Drosophila melanogaster: one gene and its partner. The protein of the gene in region 1 interacts with the protein of each later gene in a pairwise test. Each region holds a gene or a part of one and is shown in the gene's direction. Other genes may lie near its edges. The genes, in order: CG3880 and Ccdc85.

Evidence for each region.
Region 2: the proteins of CG3880 (region 1) and Ccdc85 interact in a two-hybrid assay, tested with the Drosophila melanogaster proteins (2 studies listed by BioGRID).

Annotation. Positions count from the first base shown.
Region 1 is NT_033778.4:24,758,595-24,762,516, forward strand, and holds the start of CG3880 (uncharacterized protein), read left to right. Parts: upstream 1-2,069; 5' UTR 2,070-2,252; intron 2,253-2,687; 5' UTR 2,688-2,693; coding exon 2,694-3,551; intron 3,552-3,607; coding exon 3,608-3,922. Other genes in the region: spz6 (spatzle 6), read left to right, coding at 1-202, 263-589, 990-1,620.
Region 2 is NT_033779.5:2,997,371-3,001,292, forward strand, and holds the start of Ccdc85 (Ccdc85), read left to right. Parts: upstream 1-1,915; 5' UTR 1,916-2,631; intron 2,632-3,922. Other genes in the region: CG3558 (uncharacterized protein), read left to right, coding at 122-160, 421-878.

The DNA of each region.
Region 1 (3,922 bases):
ATTACGCCTTCGTCGAGTCCCCGAATGCGGTGCCTCCCAAGGTCAGGCCGCCACCTTACACCTTTGTAAATGCGGAGTGCAAGGACGTGGCCGCCGGCAAGAAGTCTGCCGTGTCCGTTCACAACATTTGCGGAGATCTAAACAAGGGTCAGATACCCAAGAATCCGCTGGGACAAAATGTACTCGGGGAGCCCTATCCCTTGTAGGTGAAAATATTTGCGTAACAAATTTCAGACATCTCTAATGTACACCTCCTCCACAGCGAACTTATTCGCAACCAAACGCTGAAGTTCCTTTCGAAAACTTTGCCCGTTCTAAAGGCCGACGATACCCTACCCAAGGTCACCCAGATCATTCGAGATGAACCCGTGGAACAGCTGGACAGCAACAACATCGACAGGCCCTATCCCGCAGGAGGTTCCACTCGCGTCCGCCGCAGCCTGCCGGAGGGCGTGGAGTCCAACGAGTACAGCTACTTCGATCCCGCCCTGGACGAGGAGGAGCAACACAAGCAAAGGGATCGGAATAACCAGCAGAGAAGGGCCGCCGAGGAGAGGAAGCCAAGGAAATTCTGCGATGGCGGTGGAGTGTAAGTTTTTAGCATGGAAACGGGGGAGTAGAGTTATTCCAATCTTAACTGCTACATAAATGAAAGATAAATATATCGTATTTCTTAAAGCACGGGAAAGGCGCGCATATAAAGCTAAAGAGGTCACCACTTAAAAATTATGAGTCATCTTTATAAAATTATAGATTCGAAGAATTATCAAGGCAAAGAACCCAAATGAGCTTGTCATTTCACTTTCCACATCATAATGTAAAGCCATACAACTAAAGAAGCTCAACACTTTAATCGACATCCATAGATATTGTAGAATAGGTTAAGAGAGGAGTACATCATGGGGTATTCAACTGCTTAGCATTTTGACGACACAACTGCGTGCAGGTCAATTAATAAAAGATTTTTAAACTTTTAACTCCACCCACAGATTTTGCACCTTATACAGGGCAATTCAGGGAGACACCGGAGGAGCAGCCCCTGCCACGCCCACTGCGGAAAGGCGCGAGGAGGTGGGTCCCATCCGGTACGAGGGTCCTCCCACTCCCTGTCCCGCCAAGGTAGAGTACGCTACTCCCGTCTTCGCTAAGAACTACCAAGGCGCCTGGCGTTATGTGGTCCAGATTCCCTATGAGGGCTACTTCACCCAGACGGTGGAGGTGACGCGTTGCATTCAGGCACGCTGTCACTACCTGGACGGCGGTTGCTTGTCGTCACCACGCTGGGTAAGCCTGTTGGTGGCGGAGATCTTCTACCCCAATGCGGAGGACACAGTGCCCACCAGCTCGACCACCACTCAGGCCCCTTCTGTGCAGGATTTCCAGGCCTACCAGCAGTACCTGCAGAAGAGGGCAGGCGTGGCTACCGCCTCCGACGGAACCTCGTCTGGAGCAGCCGGCCCCGCGGCGCAGGTGGACGCCCACTGCGATGGACACGATGAACTGGGCTGCTTCCAGGTGCGTCTCTACTACGACTGGTTCCTCATCCCCGGCTCTTGCAAGTGCTGGCGCCCGGACTACTTCGCCAAGTACGTGCGCCGGAAGTCGGTGGCCGAGTTGTGAACACTTCCTGGACAGGATTTTCGAAGGAAATCCTTAGAATAAGACTAAGTTCTAGCCTTTAGAGGAACACAACTTTGAGGTGAAAGGCTCATTCTAGTAATCCACCCGGGTGCCCCACAGCCCTATACGGATCACGCAGAGTTTGCAGTTCGTGCATCTACCAGATACAATCTTAACCTAGGCGGTTAGCTCCCTCTTTCGACTGATTAAGCCAAGAGCAGTGCATTTCTACTAATAAATACGTTTCTACCTAATCATAAGAGAGCCTCTCTATTCGGCACTTTGCTGAGACTGCGATGTGGTATTGGCCTAGCCTGTGTGTGTTAGCCTCCTGGAACTCTCTCAGCTGCGCTTGTGTTGGAAGATCCACCGAAAACCCACAGAAACCAGTCGCGCAAGTTGCGCATGCGTGCGAGACTCGGGCCCAAAACCTCGGCCGCTGATCTAGTGTGCAGTCAATATAACCAGTTGGTTGGCTTTGGGTGTTTTGGCCGGGGATCCAAGCGACCGAGCTGCATTACATACACAGAATAGTTGCAGAGTTTGCGCAGAAGCCTTGACGAACGGCCTCAAAAGGCTGCCAGACGAGCCGCGGACTCGGATTTCAGGAGCCAATTTTCCGCATAGCTTGGGTAAGTCAGCCAAATGGAGGGCCGTCTCTTTGTTTATAAACAAAATAAGCAACCAAAGTGGACTAAGGTACAGATGCAGCTGCGATAATAACATTGAGTAAACTTGGTACTTGAAGGCAAGAAACTAACAAAATCATTCATTTGCACGTCTCAGTTGAGCCCATTTAAATAAAATTGTAGAGTTTGAAATCAAGTAATTTTGTGTGGCGACTAGACGATTTTATAAAAATAAATTTGTTAAAACTGCTTGTAAATAAGTGGGAAATATCTTAGCTCAGAGATTCAGTCCTAAGGCAGCGTGCCAGATTCACACACATTCCATTTGGAGTTACCCATGCAAATGAGCTCCTATTAATATAAGTTATGCATTGGTGCCAAGCGTGGGACTATACGATTCATAATCTCATCCCACTTTCCATTTTGCGCCATCCGCAGACGAAGATGCTCCGCCAGAACAAGAATACCAGTACCAGTCTGCTGAACCTAAGCATAGGCGATGTGGGAGGCAGCCATCCACAGGGGCAGTCGCAATTTTGGGAACTGGATACGCTGCCTAAGCAGTTCGTCCTGTCCATGAAAAAGCTCTTCGACATCTTAGATGACAAGCAGACCGGATACGTGCGCTTCACGGACATCGAGAAGGGCTGGCAGGATGATGGCTCCAAGGGACTGCCACGCGGAGTTGTGGACTCACTCCGTCGGGTCACTCCCAGTAGCGGACTTCTCTCCTTCGAGCGGTTCTGCGCCGGCCTCAAGCTGTGCCTGCTCCGCAATCAGCAAAACGCTGTGGAAGACCTGAAGTTGCGGCCTCGTTCCCACGGAACTCTTGCTCCGGAGATGGAGTTCCATTCTCCTGCTCCGCCGCCAAAACCTCCACGACAGGTACCCAAGTCCCCTGCTCTGGGTAAAGACGACATTCGCCATGCCCTCCAAAACTGGCAACTGAACCTGATGGCGGACGCAGGAAAGTCAAAAACGACGCAGTCGCGGGAACAATTCGAACACCGTGGATCGGCTGACGGTGGCTCTTCCTCCACCTCTGCTTCGGCCACCGACTGGAGCCTGGCCCTTCCGGCTGTGCCCAAGAAGACCAGCAGCAAGCGCAGAGAGTCGCGGAGGCACACTCTGCAACACGGCATCGATTACAACATGCTAAAAAGACTGAAGCAATTGGAGGAGCAGCGGGAACTGCTTCTTTTCGGACTCGATGGCGTGGAGAAGGCACGCGATTGGTATATGATGCAGGTGCTCAATGTACAGGAGCAGATAAAGTATTTCGGCCGTTTAGGAACCCGATTTGTAAGTAGTCCTCTAGCTTGTAATTAATAGTTACCCCTTTCCTGATTTTCGCACAGGATCAGTGGTCTGAACTGCAGCAAGAAAGGCTAAACTTTCAACGCGCCCGCGTTTTTGAGGCCAATCGCAGCCTCCAGATTCTGGCCGACACCTGGGAGCACGGCGGCTACCCACTGCACATTAATTTGGCTGTGCCGACACCCACCGTCCCAAAACCGAGGCAGATGTCCGATCTGCTCAGTCGGGTTCGCGAGAAGCCGCCGCTTCTGTCAGACTTGTACGAGGCGCAGCACTCTCATTCCCATCCGCAGTTCCTGCGTGCCATGCCCAACTTCGTGCTCAGCCAGCCCTCGCCGGTCAGCCAATCCTCGGCC
Region 2 (3,922 bases), on another chromosome or scaffold:
TCAGGGCTAAATTTGGTTGACACACATCTCTGTAAAATGCCGCCGGCATCGTTTATAATAAATTAATTTCTTTTATTTCTTTATTTTTATCGAATCGATCAAAAAATCAAACAAATCTTAGCTTCATCTGGCTTATCACAAATTTACGCATTCTTCACCGGTAAATATTTCACGCTTGATAAAATATTTAAAGTTTTAATCAAACCTAACCCAATATGGCATAGTCTTGTTAATATTTGTGCGTAGTATCTTTATTTTCGTAGAGCTTTGTACATTATGCTTTCCACTAAAAAAATAGTTAATAGTAGAATATAGAAAACATTTGTGGAATCCCATATATACATGTGGTTATTGTTGTTTTTTAATTAACCCAAAATGTCAATATCATGTGCTGTTGCTAATCCTCGCATACGTTTTTAGGAGCTGCCTCGAATCTGGTGGGGAATAATGCCAGCAACGATGGAAGAGGCATATCACAAGCTCAGACGTCCGCAGGCACATGCGAGACCAGCTTGAGTACGCAGCCCCCAGCGGGAGCATCACGCACAGGAGCCAACGCGACGTCAACAGCGGCATCGGGAAGCAACAGCAGCATCGCAGGTTCCACCCTAACGCTCTCCGCCCAGTCGAACACAACCACCCACTCGGCGAGCACTCTGCACGGTCTGGATGGCGGCCCGTCGACGGGTGGTTTCAACTCGGAGCCGGCGTCCCTGGACTCGGTGGCCTCCATGGGAATCATCGCCAGCACAAGTGGCACCGAGCGATCACGCGATCTGGCCCTATGTGCTGTGCTCATGGACGAGTGGCTTAAGGAGCTGGCTGCCATTGCGCAGGAGCAGAGCGTTGTGCTGGTCACGGAGCAGGGGTCTTTATGATCGCTTGGAACGGAAAGCTTGTGTATACATATTTTACGGATTTGTTAGCCCTTGTTTGTTTTAACCAGCTACTCTTACGAAATTATTCTTTTTACCTGTTAAATTTTCGATATTTATATTTTAAAAAACAACTTTTAACGAACAATGCAGTTTTGAACAGATTTACAAGTTAATGCACACGGACTCAACTAAAAAAAAAAAAGAGAAACACTCAACGCGTTAAACAAATAGATTTAGGTTAAATGTTTTAAGTGAATCGGGACGGTGGATCTTAAGTGTTCAGATGTAAACAAATATTCTAATTACCAGCCGTACGCAAAATTTACAACGTTTATAGAGAGAATTATATAACACACATACCATGTATACATATGTATTTTTGCAATATATTTTATGCTTTTATGTATGCAAGATCAAATTACACAAGTTATGTAAAGCCAACTTGAAAGTATTAAATTGGTCCAAGTAAATGCACAGCCAAGAAGATTTAGTTATTCTTATTATTAGCTTAGGATTTCAGGTTTAACGTGAGAGCCAATTTTATAACATGGCAACCACCAGAGGAGTCAAAGGGACTCACTGGGTATACCTTCTTCTGGTGCGACACGTAAACGCACAGTTCATTCTGCGCAAGTCAGCTGAAGCTGGAGGAGCTGCCTGCATCGGAAACACAGTTTAGGTTTGAGGGCCATTGGGAGAACTGCCTTTGGGGTGTGGCGGCGAAATACGATGATAATTTAGGCGCTGAAATTTAGCCAAAATGTTTTTAAATAAAAGTGTTTCTTATGAAAACTTCAAGCCAATATATTCAAGATTATACTTATTAAAAGAAGCAGGCAAGATAAATTTCCGTTTAGATCGTTAACGGAAGAGTTTGAATTTGAATATGTACTAAAATAGAAGTTGATCGATTGATCGATTTATGCCCACACTTTAAACCAAACACATTCCACTCCGATATCTTAGTCGAACACAAACAATCGATAGTCGACAGCACTGTGGATGGTTGAACGCATCTCTAGAAATCGGTCGCTTTCAGTCACAAAACTGCGATCGTTGCGATCGTTTGCCGTTCAAAAAACGTAAAAGTGCGCATCGCCGGCTGAATTATTGCGTTGTGTTTATTTTATTGTTAAATATCGCATAAATTATGTTATACTTTTCCCCGCCCTGCACTCGATACATTCGTGTTGGCGACTAATCACACCGCCCGCATTTTCGCAAACTTTTTGTTCTTTAGTTGCGAGTGCCGCTTGAGTGTTTGTTAAGTGCAAGGGGAACACCGGCTGAAACCGCCTTTACGGGATTCTAGCCAACCGAAAATAGTTCGCGAAACGCAGCAGGCGACGCGTCTTTTTGGCTCTCGAAAAGGGCATGAAAACTCGCGAACTGTGGCCAATAAAAGATACATACAGGAAAAAGCGATTGCGCGAATTCTCGGCTGCGTGTGCGCTGCAAATTTGCTCGTGCGGAGCAAAAACAAACGAAAATAGCCGGATGAACAAATACATCCAGTGCGAAGAATAATCTACGCTGTATAAACAATTAGCCGCAAAACAAACGGCGGAATCGAGTGCCCCTGTGTGCCAGTGTATTGTGTGTGTCTGTGTGTATCTGTATCCCTGGAATGCGCAGTCGCGCATGCGCAAATATTTGTGATTTGTTTTGAAAGGAGAGAAGGAGCGAGAAACAGAGATAGATAGAGAAACATAGAGAGAGCGCGCGATCGGATTGGAATAAAAAAAAATAAAAGGTGAGTTTTGCTGTTAGATTGGCAATTGCAGCAACTGCAGTTGCCTTGGCCTAAGTTGCCATTTTCCCTGCCCACGTTTCTCCACACAATTAATGTACAGTGCAAGGAACTATTTGAATAACATACATGATAACTCACTCACAAAAAGTTCAATTCAGGCTCTTCAGCTATTGAAAAAACATTGAATCAATACTTTTTTACGTGTACCAAGCCCACGTCAGTCGACTAAAAATCCATGGGCCTCGGCCCACGGAAAATTAACTCATTGCCCCCTCTTTTCCCTTCGATCCAGAAAATTGCTCTATTCTCCTCGGGAACGCCCACTTTGTCAGCGCTACGCCCACCTTGCCCATTTGTTCTTCTTTTGTCTCTGGTCTTTTGTCTTTTCCCTCCACGGTGCGCAAACGAAGGCGGGTTTTTCCTCCACTTATCGCTCGGCCACTACGGCCATAAAAGTCCGAGTAAAAATCAATTTTCAAAACAAGCAGGACAAAAACAAAGGAACGAGCCAGCGAGGCGGCAAGGGGGCAAGAAAGGGAATATCGGACGACAATAACATCAATTTTGAGGCATTTATATGCGCCAATAAATTCAACAGTTGCTTGCTGGTGTGAGTGAGAAGGAGAGGCAGCAGGAGCGATGGCGATAGTATCGCATCCGAGGAAAGCAACAAATAACAGGCAGAAAGATACACGACAACGCGCAACAATAAGACACAAGATCAAACAAAACCAGCAGCGAAAACCGACCACGCTGCAGCATCGCCGTTGCTTTTGTTGTTGCTGCAGCAGTTGCAATAGCAACAGCAACAACCACGCCGCATGCAACAGGTAAAAGCAGCGACGCCACCGTTTCGAAACGAAATGCCCGCAAGAGCGAAAGAGATGGCGCCGAACAACCTGTTACATCGCCCGCTGCCTGAAATATGTAAAGTCAATTTCGTGTATCGGAAAACTGTAACTAATGCCAGGCAACAGCAGCAGCAGCATTAACCCATTAACGCGAAAGGGAGAAATCGGCCAAGAAATGCAAATGCATTGTCCATGGGTTAAATGGAAAGGCGGGATGGTGTAGTTGGGAAAACTGCTTGGCCACATACCACAAACAATGCAACAGTCAGGCATCGTTTGAATTGGCAAAATGTAAATAGTAATTAATATTAATACAATTATTAACACTATTACTTCTCGGACAAAAAGTATGTTTCCTTAGGGGTCTAAGTTGAATGTTTAATATTACTCATTTCTTTAAGCCTTCATCCGAGTTGGAATCTTTTTGCGGTCATGAGGCT